Arabidopsis thaliana: one gene and its partners. The protein of the gene in region 1 interacts with the protein of each later gene in a pairwise test. Each region holds a gene or a part of one and is shown in the gene's direction. Other genes may lie near its edges.

Region 1 (3,272 bases):
AATGATATTTGTTGCATATCTATCAGTTTTTAAAAGTGTCATCATAGCTCTATAAAGCTGTCTATTTAAATTAGATATACCTATCTCAAGTTCACTAATCCGTATCTAAAGAGAAAGAAAAATATCTTGATAACTAAAAATGAGTTTTAGAATGTACGGAGATAAGTTCTGAAAAAAACTGAACGAGCCACCTTTAAAAGTAATTAGATGAAGAAATAAACACAATTTGAAAAACTACATGAAAGCTAATCTCTGACTTGAGAAGTTGAGATATTTGGAACCTTTGTTAATTCTTTCAACACCGAAAACGATTTCTTAGGAAATTTCAAAAGAAATAAAAGTAAAGAGGGCAAGTATTCTGATTGTTAACCAAGCACAAAATGAAGCACCCATCAATCAATCTTTTCAACAATCAACATACCGATTCTAATTGGTCTGGCAGAATAATTACCGGAAAGGAAGAAGAATAGAACTCCAATATTTAATTATCGTACTTAATCTGTTTGTTCGAGAAACTAAATAATGGGTTCCTAGGTATATGTATTTATTTTATACATTATCTTCACATGTAACGTGCCTATTTAACGAGAATATGATTCCCTATGATTCATGCACAAACACAAATCAAATCCGGAATTTAAGTCGGATCAGGGAATAAATTATACAGCCCACACACATAATAATTTAAAACTAATATATACACAGTGAGGGGATTTAAAAGTAAAACTTATCTCCAAAGATTAATGTAAGCGACTAGTGATTGTGTTGGCATATTAACCGCACATAACATTGTTTGGGGGTTTGGATGCTTTAAAAAAGGTTCTGCCTTAGAAATTCCTTTTAGTTGACGTAATGATATATTATTGCTTACTGTAATACTAGTGGACACATTAAACAATGATCTTAAAGTACGAATGAAGAAATTAAAGAAAATGGAAGAGGAAGAATGTGGAAATGGAGAACGTAAGTGAAAGTGATTGGAAACTAATGGAATATCCGTTTTTCCTTTAGTCATGGTGGAAGCTGACGCTGAGAACCTACCCCTCCAATTGCACTACTCGCTCTATTACTTTATCTAACCAGAAGTTTTTTAAATACCCTTTACTGTATATAGTTCTTACAGTTTTATACATATTGTTAAGAACTCCATATATAGTGTATAAATGGCATTGAAAATAGTTTTGAGTTGAAACTCCTAAATGATATTAAATCTTGAGTTTAACCTAATTAAGCAAAGTAATAAAAACTGATTAGCCAAAACAAAGAGGTTAGTTAGTTCAACAGTTAGGTTAATGTGCAAATTGCCGTAACAAGATTATTAAATAATTCTTAACTTTAATTAACCTCTATCCATTATTGCATTTAAAAGATACTATTAATTAAAAGCCACCAATAAAAATTTAAACTTTATTAAAGTACTAAAGACGGATATATTAAACAAAACAATTATGAAAAAAATAAGAAAACCAACTTAATACAAGTTCAAATTAACATCCAAAAGAAGGAAATATACATGATTTTACAAATGTCTTCATTGAGCCACCACGTTAAACTAATATCATTTTTGAGGTTGATTAAAAAATTATTCATGTAAGTATAAATGCAAAAAAAAACTACATCTCTATATCAAAAACCAATCAATTGTTTACTCCATTATGGAAGATGATTCCCTAAAAAATAATTTCGTTAATACTCACTCTACAAAGTACAAATAATGAATACTGACTTTTTTCATACATTCCAAAAAAATACTGAAAACTGAACCATACACAAATCCATTGCATTAAGAAACAATCCATCCCATACGTTCCTCTATAAAACGCCTCTCACAACACAATCTCATCTCCCACCAATAAATTAATTACTTTTTTAACAAAGAAAACTTTCATTTCATTCACTCTTCCCAAACAGTAAAACACACATGCAGACAATGGAAGGACGACAATATAATTACCAAGACAGCATAAACGCGAGCTCCTCCATGGTGGTGCCTCACTCGCCTTGGCACTCTCCGGTTCCTTATCTCTTCGGTGGTTTGGCCGCCATGTTGGCTCTCATCTGCGTCGCTCTTCTCATCCTCGCATGTTCCTACTGGAGACTCTCCGGCTCCGCTGAGAGAGATCTTGAGGCCGGAGATGATGCCAAACCCGACAATGACACCAACAAAACTAAGCACACAGAAATGCCGGAGAAGTTTCTCGTCATAATGGCCGGTGATGTCAGACCTACTTACTTGGCTACGCCAGCGACTCGGTCTGAGCAAAGCTGTACTTGCGGCGATCATAACGAAGAAGAAGGAAGAAGAGGGTAGTGATCAGGTGGTATAGCAGAGCACCGGAGGTTACGGTGAGCCCTCCCTCATATTTTGAAAACAGAGCATTCGTTACGGAGTACTCCGGAATCGATCCGTCCGGTCTTTTTGTGTCGGTTCATAATTACGCCAACCTTACGTGAGCTGATGGGATATAAATTAGAGTTTTATTTATTTCGTATGGTTTTAGTTTTTTTTTGGTTGTCTCAGTTTTCTTCAAATTTTTCCCGTTTATGGTTCATGAAGGAATATCCGGTACATGTAAATTTTAAGAGTTTGAATAGATGATTGTTTTGGACTAGCGATTAAAGATAGAACTGAAGCTTGACAGACAAAATAAATAAAAGATACAACTAAAATCGTGCGTCCTTAATTCAGTTTTCGTGTATAGAGAGACAAAAATGTTTTCCCAGTGAGAGATGTACAGACATGATGCTTACGAAAGAGGGAAAGAGATGTGTTGTGAAAACTTCTAGTGATGTGCCAACAATGACGCATGCCGAATATTAAGCTAATTCGTTGTGGCGAACCGAAGTTGAGAATTATTCTCTTTGTACCTTTATTCCTAAATTTCTAGATATATTACTAAATATCATCAAGTTTTATCAAAGAACAAATAGCCTCTCAACTATACATTTCTCTCTTTTTTTCTTTTCCAGGCATATCCATTTATCATTGTTTACCATTCACTGAAATTGAAAGCATTATCGTTTATCGTTGGACAATAAATTGTCGTCTTTTGGATGATCAGTACAATGTGAACAGTGACACATATAATGGATGGAGACTACTGCAACTAACTGAATAATTGTTTTTCTAGTATGGGCAATTGGTCACTGGTTGTGTCATGTGTTTACGTCCTTTCGTTTTCTTGTCCAATTCCTACTATGTTTATTATGTGAACGTGTCAAAACAAACGAGCTCGCAAATGATGCCAATAAAACTGGAAAACCAACAATAA
Region 2 (6,882 bases), on another chromosome or scaffold:
CCGGTCATCGCTCAGGCTGCCACGTGGACGGTGCTTCTAATGTTCACGGTGGCCGTCGCTTCGTTTGCTCCGGAGATGGCTTTTGTGTCTACGGTGTCGTCTTCGTGCGGAGGAGGAGATGGTTTCGTGAAGATTCCGATGGATTTTGCAGGGGAGAGTATATGCGTGCCGTCTAATATGGTGAAGAGATCGCGTTTTGATTTGTTTGTGCCTTCGATTTTCGCGGCGGTTATGGTCACTGCTTCGGCTTGTTTGATCCGATCATGTATTGGCACGGAGAATGTGGATGATTTTTAATAAACACTTGTAAATTAATTAATAATCTTGTATTCAGTTACTACATAACATCCACCATTTTGTTATTCCAAATCACGACATTATATTAAGCTGCGTCGTAGAATAGTTGACATTTGTCAGTGTTAACCCAACAATTTGATCTGTTATGTTATCCACGACCCAAAATCACAACTAAACAATTTGACATTCCGTTTTGCCATCGTCCGGTTTTAAATCACCATCAAATTAGTAATTAGTCAAGTGATCATGACAAATGCCGAGAGATACAGGAGACATTTGTGTGATTCTGAGGTTTGTCAGGTTTGCAAAGGGGGAGTGGAGACTATCTTGCATGTTCTTAGAGACTGCCCTTCGATGTCGGGAATATGGAGCAGGATTGTTCCTAGGAGGAAACAACAAGCGTTCTTTACGAAGTCATTATTTGAGTGGCTCTTTGAGAATCTCTGTGAGCAGGTTAACGTGGAAGAGGGGCCTTGGTCCACGATGTTTGCACTAGCAGTTTGGTGGGGGTGGAAGTGGAGGTGCGGTAATATTTTTGGTGAGAATAGAAGGTGTCGGGACAGGGTACGCTTTGTGAGGGATTTGGCGAAGGAGGTTTCAGCAGCTAATCAACAGTTGGTCACTCAGGGAGGTCGACGCTCGCGCGTAGAGATTCTGGTAGGGTGGGAGAAACCGTTGCTTGGCTGGTTGACAGTTAATACGGATGGGGATTCGCGTGGGAATCCGGGTTTAGCTGCTGCAGGAGGAGTATTACGAGATCATGAGGGAAGGTGGTGCGGAGGTTTTTCTTTGAATATAGGGAGATGTTCGGCACCAATGGCGGAATTATGGGGAGTTTATTACGGACTCCATTTCGCATGGGAGAGGAAAGCACCGCAGGTAGTGTTGGAGGTGGATTCTGCGATAGTTGTGGAGTTCTTGAGGACAGGGATAAGTGATCATCACCCGTTGTCTTTCCTGGTACGATTGTGCCATGGCTTTTTATCGAAGGACTGGATAGTCCGAATTGTTCACGTGTATAGGGAGGCTAATCGTCTTGCGGATAGATTAGCAAACTATGCTTTTTCTTTAGCTTTTGGTTTGCACTTTTTTTACTCTATTCCGAATGTTGTTGAGTTACTTTGGCGAGAGGATGACCTTGGGATAGTTTGCCCAAGACAGATCCCAGAACGGTAATTTTTAGTTTTAAGTTTGAATAAAAACGGGGGGCTCTTTGCCGCCCGGTCACTTACCAAAAAAAAAAATAACCTACTTTATAAACATTTTAACCAAAACGTTTTGTGACCTATCATGATAATTTGGTCTGCAACATATGTCAACGTAAAGTTTATAGGCCCAAAGACGATCAATATTAGAATGAGTAGTAGCACTTATACTTGAAACAGTGACCCATTGGGCTTAAACAGCATCTTTTTGAATCACTGGTTTTTTTAATTAATAAGAGGAGTTATCAGAGAGACGTCAGAGAACGTCCCTGCGATTGCTTGCAGCGGGAAGTTTCTTTCTCTCTAGCTCCGGATTTGCTTTGGTATGTTACTACTTCACAATCTTCAACTCCATTGATTGTATCCTTGATTGCGATTTGCTCCTACTATGTAATCGTTCTCTTGTCTCAGATCTAAATTTAAGCTCATCTTTGAATTTTAGTCTGGGACTGAGATTCTCTCTATAGATTCGTCGATCCAGTCTTATTCCTTTGTAATTTGTTTGAGATGATGATGATTATGTTGCTACAGTTTTATAATTGAGTATCTTAGAGTGAAGTTTTTCTAATTTCTCAGCTATTCAGAGGATCTAATTTTTTAATAATTTGCAGTCGAAAACCGTAAGCTTTGGCGAGTTTCCGGGAGAATTTGACGAATCTGTTTTGCAACGAGTGAGAATTCATGGGGAAAGGATCAGAAGACCTTGTGAAGAAGGAAAGCTTAAATTCTACACCTGTAAATTCGGATACGTTTCCTGCTTGGGCTAAAGATGTCGCGGAATGTGAAGAACATTTCGTTGTTAGTCGTGAGAAAGGTTTGAGTAGTGATGAGGTGTTGAAGCGGCATCAGATCTATGGTTTGAATGAGTTAGAGAAGCCTGAGGGTACTTCTATTTTTAAGCTGATTTTGGAGCAGTTTAATGATACATTGGTTCGTATTCTTTTGGCGGCTGCTGTTATTTCCTTTGTCTTGGCCTTCTTTGATGGCGACGAAGGTGGTGAGATGGGTATCACTGCATTTGTTGAGCCGCTTGTTATTTTTCTCATCTTAATTGTTAATGCCATTGTTGGCATCTGGCAAGAAACTAATGCTGAGAAGGCGTTGGAAGCTTTGAAAGAGATTCAGTCTCAGCAAGCAACTGTCATGCGTGATGGGACTAAGGTTTCCAGTTTGCCTGCAAAGGAGCTTGTTCCTGGTGATATTGTGGAACTGAGGGTTGGTGATAAGGTACCTGCTGATATGCGTGTGGTTGCTTTGATCAGTTCAACTTTGAGAGTCGAGCAGGGGTCCTTAACAGGAGAGAGTGAGGCAGTGAGCAAAACCACCAAGCACGTGGATGAGAATGCTGATATTCAAGGAAAGAAATGCATGGTGTTTGCAGGAACCACTGTCGTGAATGGGAACTGCATATGTTTAGTTACAGATACTGGGATGAATACTGAGATTGGAAGGGTTCACTCACAGATCCAGGAAGCTGCACAACACGAGGAAGATACCCCTCTGAAGAAAAAACTTAACGAGTTTGGGGAAGTTCTGACTATGATCATTGGGTTAATTTGTGCGTTAGTGTGGCTCATCAATGTCAAATACTTTCTGTCATGGGAGTATGTTGATGGCTGGCCCAGAAACTTTAAGTTCTCCTTCGAGAAGTGCACATATTACTTTGAGATTGCTGTTGCACTGGCGGTTGCTGCAATTCCTGAAGGTCTGCCAGCAGTTATTACCACATGTTTGGCTCTTGGCACACGGAAGATGGCTCAGAAGAATGCTCTGGTTAGGAAGCTACCCAGTGTGGAGACTCTTGGATGCACCACCGTGATATGCTCTGACAAAACTGGAACTCTCACAACCAATCAGATGGCTGTTTCTAAGCTCGTTGCTATGGGTTCGAGGATCGGTACTCTTCGATCTTTCAATGTTGAGGGGACCTCGTTTGATCCTCGAGATGGAAAGATTGAAGATTGGCCAATGGGTCGGATGGATGCAAATCTTCAGATGATTGCAAAAATTGCTGCCATTTGCAACGATGCTAATGTCGAGCAATCTGATCAGCAATTTGTGTCTAGGGGCATGCCTACTGAGGCAGCTTTGAAGGTAAAGCGGTCTACTACACTAGCTTGCACCTTTCTCTTCTTAACTAAATTGACTAAGAAAACTCTATTCGTTGTCCTTAGTTGATGTTTCTTTCTATTGGTGTGTGTGTTTATTTGAACAGGTTTTGGTTGAGAAAATGGGATTTCCCGAAGGATTGAATGAAGCTTCGTCCGATGGCGATGTCTTACGTATGTATTCTGAACTATATCTGTTACTTATGTTTATGCAGTTTTACAGATGCCTAACCTCCTGCACTTTTCCTTTTTTAACATTATTGAAGGTTGTTGTCGGCTATGGAGTGAACTAGAACAACGGATTGCCACCCTTGAGTTTGACCGTGACCGGAAATCAATGGGAGTTATGGTGGATTCCAGCTCAGGAAACAAACTGCTACTGGTCAAGGTCTGTTTGTCATCATTGATCATATCCTGACTCCTGGGGTCGAACGTGGGAAATCAAGTGGCTTCTGCTTTGGTTCTTGCATGTTATTAGTCGATAAAACCATTGTCCCCTCTTTTTCAGCACCTAAGAGACCAATTTTGAAATTATGCAGGGTGCGGTAGAAAATGTATTGGAAAGGAGTACACATATTCAGCTACTTGATGGTTCAAAACGAGAGCTTGACCAATACTCAAGGGATCTGATTTTACAAAGCCTACGTGATATGTCCTTGAGTGCATTAAGATGTCTCGGATTTGCTTACTCAGATGTTCCATCAGATTTTGCCACTTATGATGGCAGTGAAGACCATCCTGCTCACCAGCAACTTCTCAACCCATCCAATTATTCATCAATTGAGTCCAATCTAATATTCGTTGGATTTGTTGGTTTAAGGGTGAGTTACTGTGATATTGTTTTGGTTCTTTCTAGTTCCTCATTAATAAATATTGATGCTCGACCTTTTTAATGATTGAAGGATCCTCCAAGGAAAGAGGTGCGTCAAGCCATTGCAGATTGCAGAACAGCAGGTATTCGGGTCATGGTCATTACTGGAGACAACAAGAGCACAGCGGAAGCGATCTGCCGTGAAATTGGCGTATTTGAAGCAGATGAAGATATCTCCTCAAGAAGCTTGACGGGAATAGAATTTATGGATGTTCAAGATCAGAAGAATCATCTACGACAGACTGGAGGGCTCCTGTTCTCAAGGGCTGAACCAAAACACAAACAAGAGATTGTCAGGTTACTGAAAGAAGATGGAGAAGTGGTTGCCATGACTGGAGACGGAGTCAATGATGCTCCTGCTCTGAAGTTGGCTGATATTGGTGTGGCTATGGGCATTTCCGGCACAGAGGTACTGTTTCTCTTCTCTCATCTTCAATTCCGGATGATGATAGCTCTATCAGCTTTCTAAAGCTCTGGGCATTTTGCAGGTAGCAAAGGAGGCATCTGACATGGTTTTGGCAGATGATAATTTCAGCACCATTGTTGCAGCTGTAGGTGAAGGCAGGTCCATCTATAACAACATGAAGGCCTTCATCAGGTGAGTCTTCTACTATCACATATATATATATATGCCTATTCGTATTGATGGCTTGAGTTATACATACTAAGCCTATATATATGACTATGATGAATAAAAGGTACATGATCTCTTCCAACATCGGCGAGGTTGCATCGATATTTTTGACAGCTGCTCTTGGAATCCCAGAAGGCATGATCCCGGTTCAGCTTCTGTGGGTAAATCTCGTAACAGACGGTCCTCCAGCTACTGCTTTGGGGTTCAACCCCCCTGACAAAGATATTATGAAAAAGCCTCCTCGTAGGAGCGATGACTCGCTTATCACTGCCTGGATCCTCTTCCGCTATATGGTATGCAAAAATCGATTTGTCTCTCTCTCTCTCTTGTTCATCGTATGGGGCATTTCTGACTATTATGGATACCTACCTACAGGTGATTGGTCTGTACGTGGGAGTAGCAACGGTGGGAGTATTCATCATATGGTACACACACAGTAGCTTCATGGGCATAGACTTGAGCCAAGACGGTCACAGCCTTGTGAGCTATTCACAGCTCGCACATTGGGGCCAATGCTCTTCATGGGAAGGCTTCAAAGTGTCTCCTTTCACAGCAGGCTCTCAGACTTTCTCGTTCGACTCAAACCCTTGCGACTATTTCCAGCAGGGGAAAATCAAGGCGTCCACACTCTCCCTCTCGGTGTTGGTGGCCATTGAAATGTTCAACTCCCTGAACGCACTCTCAGAAGACGGCAGCCTGGTAACGATGCCGCCGTGGGTGAACCCGTGGTTACTCCTGGCTATGGCTGTCTCATTCGGGCTCCACTTTGTGATACTGTACGTGCCATTCCTGGCTCAGGTATTTGGGATAGTGCCACTGAGCTTGAACGAGTGGCTGCTGGTACTGGCTGTTTCGCTTCCAGTGATTCTTATAGACGAAGTGCTCAAGTTTGTAGGAAGGTGTACGAGTGGCTACCGCTACTCACCTCGCACTCTTTCCACGAAGCAAAAGGAGGAGTAAGAAATAAATCAAAAGCATTATATTATTAGACTCTTAGTTTTAGCTGAAATTAGCGTTGTTACTTACCTCGGCGTTGGTTATTTAATTTTCTAAAACGATAATTTTTGGTTTGATAAAAATGTTCTAACTTGCTTCTCATTTGGTTCACGGACAAAGAGCCTGAAATAGATGAATGTTTCAACAAAGCCCTTCATTTTTATGCTTCCTAAGTTATGTGCTAGATAGATCTCTCTTTCTGCAATATTGACTGCTTCCAAATCAATATAATTCATGGATGAAATATTGATGAATGTTTCACCCAAGCCTTCATTGTTGGGTGATTTGATTTTGTGTACTCAGATCAGAGTAAAGATACATTCTCCTTCACGTGAGACAGAGTAATCTAGTTGTTTTCTGTTTAGTTCCCCTTCCTGCAATATTGACTGCTTCCAAAGTTCCAAGTCTATAGATTATAAAAAACGAACTCATAGCAGAATTCAACTGTAATTTATCAATTATCATTAATTGCTTAGTTGATTGAATCCTGATCTTACGAGTACCAATGAAGATAGGGTGAAATGTAGCTCTGTTTCTCGATTCAACATGAATCTTCCCAGAAGCTTTGGGATTACAGTTAAAAATGGTAAAAAACCAGGAGACAAGATATCGAGTAAATTGTTCATCCTCATTAGATTTTCTTAGCTTTAAGTTTGCAAAGATTTTCAACTACACCGCATTGGCTAACAACGACATCACAATAGAAAACAAAAGCAGTAGCTAACACTCCTAGATTTACTTTAGACTAATTCAAACCATTTAACACAGATC
Region 3 (5,643 bases), on another chromosome or scaffold:
AAGTAATATTCAAAATTATTTTGGACATAAATAATACCTAAACAATTATTTTATTTTAAATTATTAAAATTAAAAAATTATAAAATACACAAATTCATCGCCAAATATTTCCGACAATATTTTTTCGAAAAAAAAATTTTTGTCCACAAAATATTTGAGTGCTATTGTTGTCATTTTTCCTTTATTTTTCTAGGTCACATCATTCTTTTGGGTATTTTTGTCAAAGATCTAATGTAAATTATCCATAACACTCTATAGTTAGTAAAAAAGTTCGTAAAAAATATTATTTACAAAAATAATCTTATATGAATACTCAAAAATTATGGTTTAATTACAATTTACATGCGTATCATAATTTTAATATAATAACATCATATTGAAGCAAATATTCGTAGAATTTACTTAAGTTTTTTTATATGAAAAGTATAAGTACCGTATATCTAGCCATTTTTCGTTAAAGAAAATGTGTTGTTTTTTGTTTTTGTATTGGATTGAATGGTAGCTATTATAATAGCGGTACAACTTTAACAGTTACCAATCACAATAACTTTATCAAAAGCGTTACAAAAAGTTTTACTCTCAGTTTTTTTATACAGATTTAGATTTATTATACAGCTTATTTTAACAGCTTTGCATTATTCCGATAAAACTAATAGCTAAAAAACTCGTACAACTTATAGTTACCAATCACATCCATTACCTTTTCTTACTTAATTATCGTAACAATAGAAAATGTGTTAATTTTGTATAACTGTCAATCAACAAATAAGTTAACACTTAACATAGCCCACCGTCAATATTTGGCCGTTTCTATGTGTCAACTCTTTGGATTCCATTCTAAATAGATAGGTCAAAGTCAACTTTTTCTATTTCATTGATTGAATATGTTTATCAGCAAATGAAATCTTGGTTTAATAATTGGATGATTTTGTTTTAATAATTCGTGTATGATATGCATAATTTGAATAATTGCGAATTTTAAAAGGAATCTATGGAGAATACGACTACAGTTAAAGTGACCAACACGAGTAACATAGAGATTCGGATCTACGACAAGTTCCCAAGAGAAGAAACTGTGTTCTTCAAAAAACATTAGTAAGTCCCGAAGCCAAGACAGTGTTTATTATATTTACTGTTTACCATTTTATACTTTTCTCTTTTTGTCGATATATACAGATTTACTGTGATTATTTTCATTTTCTGATAAAGATTGGAATCTTCCACGTGTTTACCCCAGATACAGTGACTGACAATTATTTTATTTTATTTTTTCCAAGGCATAATGAGAGTAAGATATTAGAAAAGATAAGGAATGCTCCTAAGAATTTCTGTTCAAACAACAAAGATTTTTTGGATAAATATGCACTAATACTTGTATATTTGGCACAACAACACGGTATTAAAGTCTAAACATTTTTATTTAATTATTTATGACATCTAAATTTTGAAAAAAAAAAGTTGTTTTACATATAATATTGGCTTTATTTCCAATTTAGCTCCTAACTTTCTATTTTCTCTCACAAAAGAGAAACCAAACAAGGTTTTGATTAATTTGTTTAGCTAAAAATAAATAAACTGCATTATACACTTCAAATCGTGCTAATTAGGAAGCCCAAATCATATGGAGGACGAGCCACTTTTACCACTTATGGGCCTGTTATTAGTGGCCCAAGACGAGACGGATGTCGGATCATGCGATTTGGCTGTTGCAATCCATAGACACCACCGAGCGAGCATCTTCTTCTTCTTCTTCGCTAACCGGAGTAATCGTAAGCAGCTTCGACTGGTGAAAATGTGTTACTCTCTCTCTATACAATCTTCAATTGACTTCCATAATCGAAACGCTCTAAAAATCCATGGAGATCGAGCAATTTTGACTTCGAACTTACCTACACTCAGGAGGATTCCGTTTTTGCCGGAGCGAGATCGCCGGAGAAAGTTGGTCCTCTGTACCGGGAGAGTCGTAAACTCATTGAAATTCACCGGAAACACTTCCGTCGATCTATGTGGTATTCCTCGTCATCGATTAAGAGTTTCTTGCAGCGATGCTCGCCGTACACCGGAAGAAACGGCGGCGGAGTTGACGGCGCAACCCAATTTTTCAGAATTTATAACGTCGGAGAGAGTCAAAGTGGTTGCGATGCTCGCGCTTGCTTTGGCGCTATGCAATGCGGATCGTGTTGTGATGTCCGTTGCGATTGTTCCTCTTTCGCTTTCTCGTGGATGGAGCAAATCATTTTCCGGTATCGTTCAGGTTATTCTTTCTCATTGATCGTTTGGGGAATTTTAGTATTAAGTCGTTCTACTGTATATCATTAATCATTGTTCTCGTTCGTCTCATAGTTTCTTGAATGTTTCTTTGGTAGTCATCGTTTCTATGGGGATACTTAATTTCTCCAATTGCTGGTGGAACTTTGGTGGACCGTTATGGTGGTAAAGTAGTCATGGCGTGGGGTGTGGCTTTGTGGTCGTTGGCAACTTTTCTTACCCCTTGGGCGGCTGATAGTTCTTTGTGGGCTCTTCTTGCTGCAAGAGCGATGGTTGGGGTTGCTGAAGGAGTGGCTCTTCCTTGTATGAACAACATGGTTGCGAGGTAGTGATGCTTTGTATTTTATTACTGCTTCAAATGTGATAAAGAGACACACACATGATCTGGTTACTGAAGTTTATTGGGTTCTTAGTGATAGTACTTTTGATGTAGATGGTTTCCCCCAACAGAACGTTCTAGGGCGGTTGGTATTGCAATGGCAGGGTTTCAGCTTGGGAATGTTGTAGGACTCATGTTGTCTCCTATTCTTATGTCTCAAGGAGGTATATATGGCCCATTTGTAATTTTTGGACTATCGGGGTTCCTTTGGTTGCTCGTGTGGCTCTCTGCAACGTCAAGTGCACCAGATCGACATCCTCAGATTACAAAGTCTGAACTTGAGTATATAAAGCAAAAGAAGCAAATATCTACTATGGAGAACAAACGAATTAGCACAAGTGGAATACCTCCTTTTGGACGCCTTCTCTCCAAGATGCCGACTTGGGCTGTTATAGTTGCAAATTCCATGCATAGCTGGGTATGTATACAGATTCCTCTCAATACAACTCTTTCATTCTTGTTACTATGAGGATTTCTTGTGGAAGGGAAATTGTTAGTACCAACTACTGTGACTTACAGTTATGATCAGGTGTTATCCTATTTGTTGGAATTCTTTGAACTGACTTAATGACTTATTTCCAGGGTTTCTTTGTGATTCTTTCATGGATGCCCATATACTTCAATTCAGTAAGGCCCTAGTACCAACATGTTCTTAATATAATCTTGTTCGTTTTAGTTCTCTTAAGAAATTTATAAGAATATTGTACCGCAGGTATATCATGTGAACCTCAAACAAGCTGCTTGGTTTAGTGCCGTTCCATGGAGTATGATGGCTTTCACAGGATACATTGCTGGTTTTTGGTCGGATTTGTTGATACGGCGTGGTACAAGCATCACCTTAACGCGAAAAATCATGCAGGTGCGTGATGTGTCACAAGATTTCATTCAATCAAGAGCTCTCTCAGACTGAAGAGTTCTGTAAACATATCCGAAAGATGTTGAAGCCTGATGCAATGAAATCTGGTGCATTCAGCATTCTTTTTCTTTTGCTGACTGGGGGATTTCATTTCTTGTTTGGCAGTCCATTGGTTTCATTGGTCCTGGAATTGCTCTCATTGGTCTAACGACGGCAAAACAACCTTTAGTGGCATCAGCCTGGCTTAGTTTAGCCGTTGGGCTTAAATCATTCAGCCATTTGGGGTTTCTTATTAATCTTCAGGTACCCAAGCGTGTGATTCATACCTAACCCAATACAAATGATGAGTATCTTTAACATTTATTCCCACTTGTTTCAGGAAATTGCTCCCGAATATTCCGGTGTTCTACATGGTATGCTTTCTAATTCTCCTTTAATAGACATTGGTTTCCAGAGTTTCCTATTGTTTTATCAAACACATATAGCTAATTTGTACCATCTGAGAAGGAATAAGCCTTAGACTCAATCAAATTTTTGTTGGGAATCTGGAAACATTTTTCCAAAAATCTCTAACCGTTTCTGCGCTGTTTTAGGAATGTGTCTTACTGCTGGGACATTAGCTGCGATAGTTGGCACAGTTGGAGCTGGTTTCTTTGTAGAACTATTGGGCTCCTTCCAGGGATTCATCCTTCTTACAGCAATATTGTATCTCCTTTCTGCTCTCTTTTACAACATATACGCAACTGGAGAAAGAGTAGATTTTGACACAACAGGTCCGTCCCTTCTCTTTTCTTGGGTTATGTTGTTTGCTTTACCTGTTCAGTTTCATTCATTTTGAATCAATGTTTTGCATAATTCTAATGGTATATATATGCTGGTCTTCTTAGCAGCTTGAAGGTGACCACAAAGTCACTTAATAGGTGGATCAGCTAGTAAAGAAGTTGCAACTCTATATAGAATCAGCTTTTGCTCTCCAAGTAAATACCAGGAACAAGACCTCGGCTTTGTACAGAAACTAGAATTTCTTCGTCTCGATGGTTCTCTCCTTGATAAATAAATGAAAAAATGTAGCAAGTTATCTATGTTCAATGTCGTGAATCGCCTTAGAGAAGATAATGAAAACAATGTTGACGTAGTATTTGTTTGTTATACGGTTCAATGGTATAGAGACACGAAGACTTTCATCAAATATTGTAATAGTTTTAGACTGAAAAACAGATTAAGGGCGGGCACAGAAGCAGAGAAAAGTGAAGTTACAGGTGCAGATCCGTGATTTGGGACCTTGAGGTTCTCGCACTTCTCTACCTCGTGATTTGCATACACACGTGTTCGTGCACCTCAGTCCTGGTAATAATTTCCCACTCTAGTCCTCTCATTACCGTATTGATACGTAAGCGAGCCACTACGTTTGGCTTTTTACTCAAATTGGTTACCTTTTTAATTCCTTTCGTTGCCAAAAGTTCAATTAAATTCCTTACAAATTACTTATTTTCTTTTGATGAATGTCCACATTGCGGTTACCAATATTTATTTCTAATTAAATTCTTAGAAAATGATCAATGGTCCCAAAATACGAAAACAATGGTGTTCTTTTTACATTGAAAATAATATTAAGGGTGTTGCTAACTAAAAAACAAATAGATGTGGGGGCTGCTTGTTAGATATTTTCAACAAAAAATACAAAAATGTTCTTCGGAGCTTCCTCTGACACACAAAAACTTCACTTCACTCTCTCTTTTCTTGTGATCCTCACATTTTCAATCACTAAATCAAATCGCCAAAACAAAAACAGAAAATCAAATATAAAACAATGAAAATTACGTTTCTGTCATTCACCTTCTGAAAAATATCTTACGCTTCTTTTTTAGTATATACTGATTCTCCGTAGTATCTTCTCCCTTATTAAGCTCTGAAGTGTTGGCTCATCTCTTTCCAGATTCCGGCTTCGAAATTTGGTAATTGCTCCATAATCTTCGGCACTACCTTGGTGAAATTGTATTCGAGTTTCACTATGATTTTGATTTTATTCGTGTTTAAGCAATTTTTGAATACTGTGGTTGTTTTAGGGAGATAAGCGATGGCAAACGCCAATGGAAAAGCTGCGACTAGTTTACCGGAGAAAATCTCGGCTAAGGCGAAT

The links. The genes of interacting proteins can lie anywhere in the genome.
Region 2: the proteins of GDU2 (region 1) and ECA1 interact in a protein complementation assay, tested with the Arabidopsis thaliana proteins (one large-scale study listed by BioGRID).
Region 3: the proteins of GDU2 (region 1) and PHT4;3 interact in a protein complementation assay, tested with the Arabidopsis thaliana proteins (one large-scale study listed by BioGRID).

The regions. Positions count from the first base shown.
Region 1 is NC_003075.7:13,114,228-13,117,499, forward strand, and holds GDU2 (glutamine dumper 2), read left to right. Parts: upstream 1-1,800; 5' UTR 1,801-1,921; coding exon 1,922-2,311; 3' UTR 2,312-2,728; downstream 2,729-3,272. UniProt on the Arabidopsis thaliana protein: Probable subunit of an amino acid transporter involved in the regulation of the amino acid metabolism. Stimulates amino acid export by activating nonselective amino acid facilitators.
Region 2 is NC_003070.9:2,414,498-2,421,379, forward strand, and holds ECA1 (ER-type Ca2+-ATPase 1), read left to right. Parts: upstream 1-1,680; 5' UTR 1,681-1,825; intron 1,826-2,113; 5' UTR 2,114-2,183; coding exon 2,184-3,596; intron 3,597-3,717; coding exon 3,718-3,784; intron 3,785-3,876; coding exon 3,877-3,998; intron 3,999-4,149; coding exon 4,150-4,431; intron 4,432-4,512; coding exon 4,513-4,890; intron 4,891-4,969; coding exon 4,970-5,079; intron 5,080-5,179; coding exon 5,180-5,408; intron 5,409-5,490; coding exon 5,491-6,075; 3' UTR 6,076-6,332; downstream 6,333-6,882. Other genes in the region: AT1G07795 (forkhead box protein G1), read left to right, coding at 1-297.
Region 3 is NC_003074.8:17,306,049-17,311,691, reverse strand, and holds PHT4;3 (phosphate transporter 4;3), read left to right. Parts: upstream 1-1,623; 5' UTR 1,624-1,648; coding exon 1,649-2,254; exon of another isoform or gene 2,255-2,366; coding exon 2,367-2,593; intron 2,594-2,681; exon of another isoform or gene 2,682-2,701; coding exon 2,702-3,065; intron 3,066-3,229; coding exon 3,230-3,274; intron 3,275-3,359; coding exon 3,360-3,506; intron 3,507-3,668; coding exon 3,669-3,806; intron 3,807-3,882; coding exon 3,883-3,916; intron 3,917-4,096; coding exon 4,097-4,276; intron 4,277-4,390; coding exon of another isoform or gene 4,391-4,393; coding exon 4,394-4,398; 3' UTR 4,399-5,093; downstream 5,094-5,643. Other genes in the region: PHS2 (alpha-glucan phosphorylase 2), read left to right, coding at 5,581-5,643. UniProt on the Arabidopsis thaliana protein: Inorganic phosphate and probable anion transporter.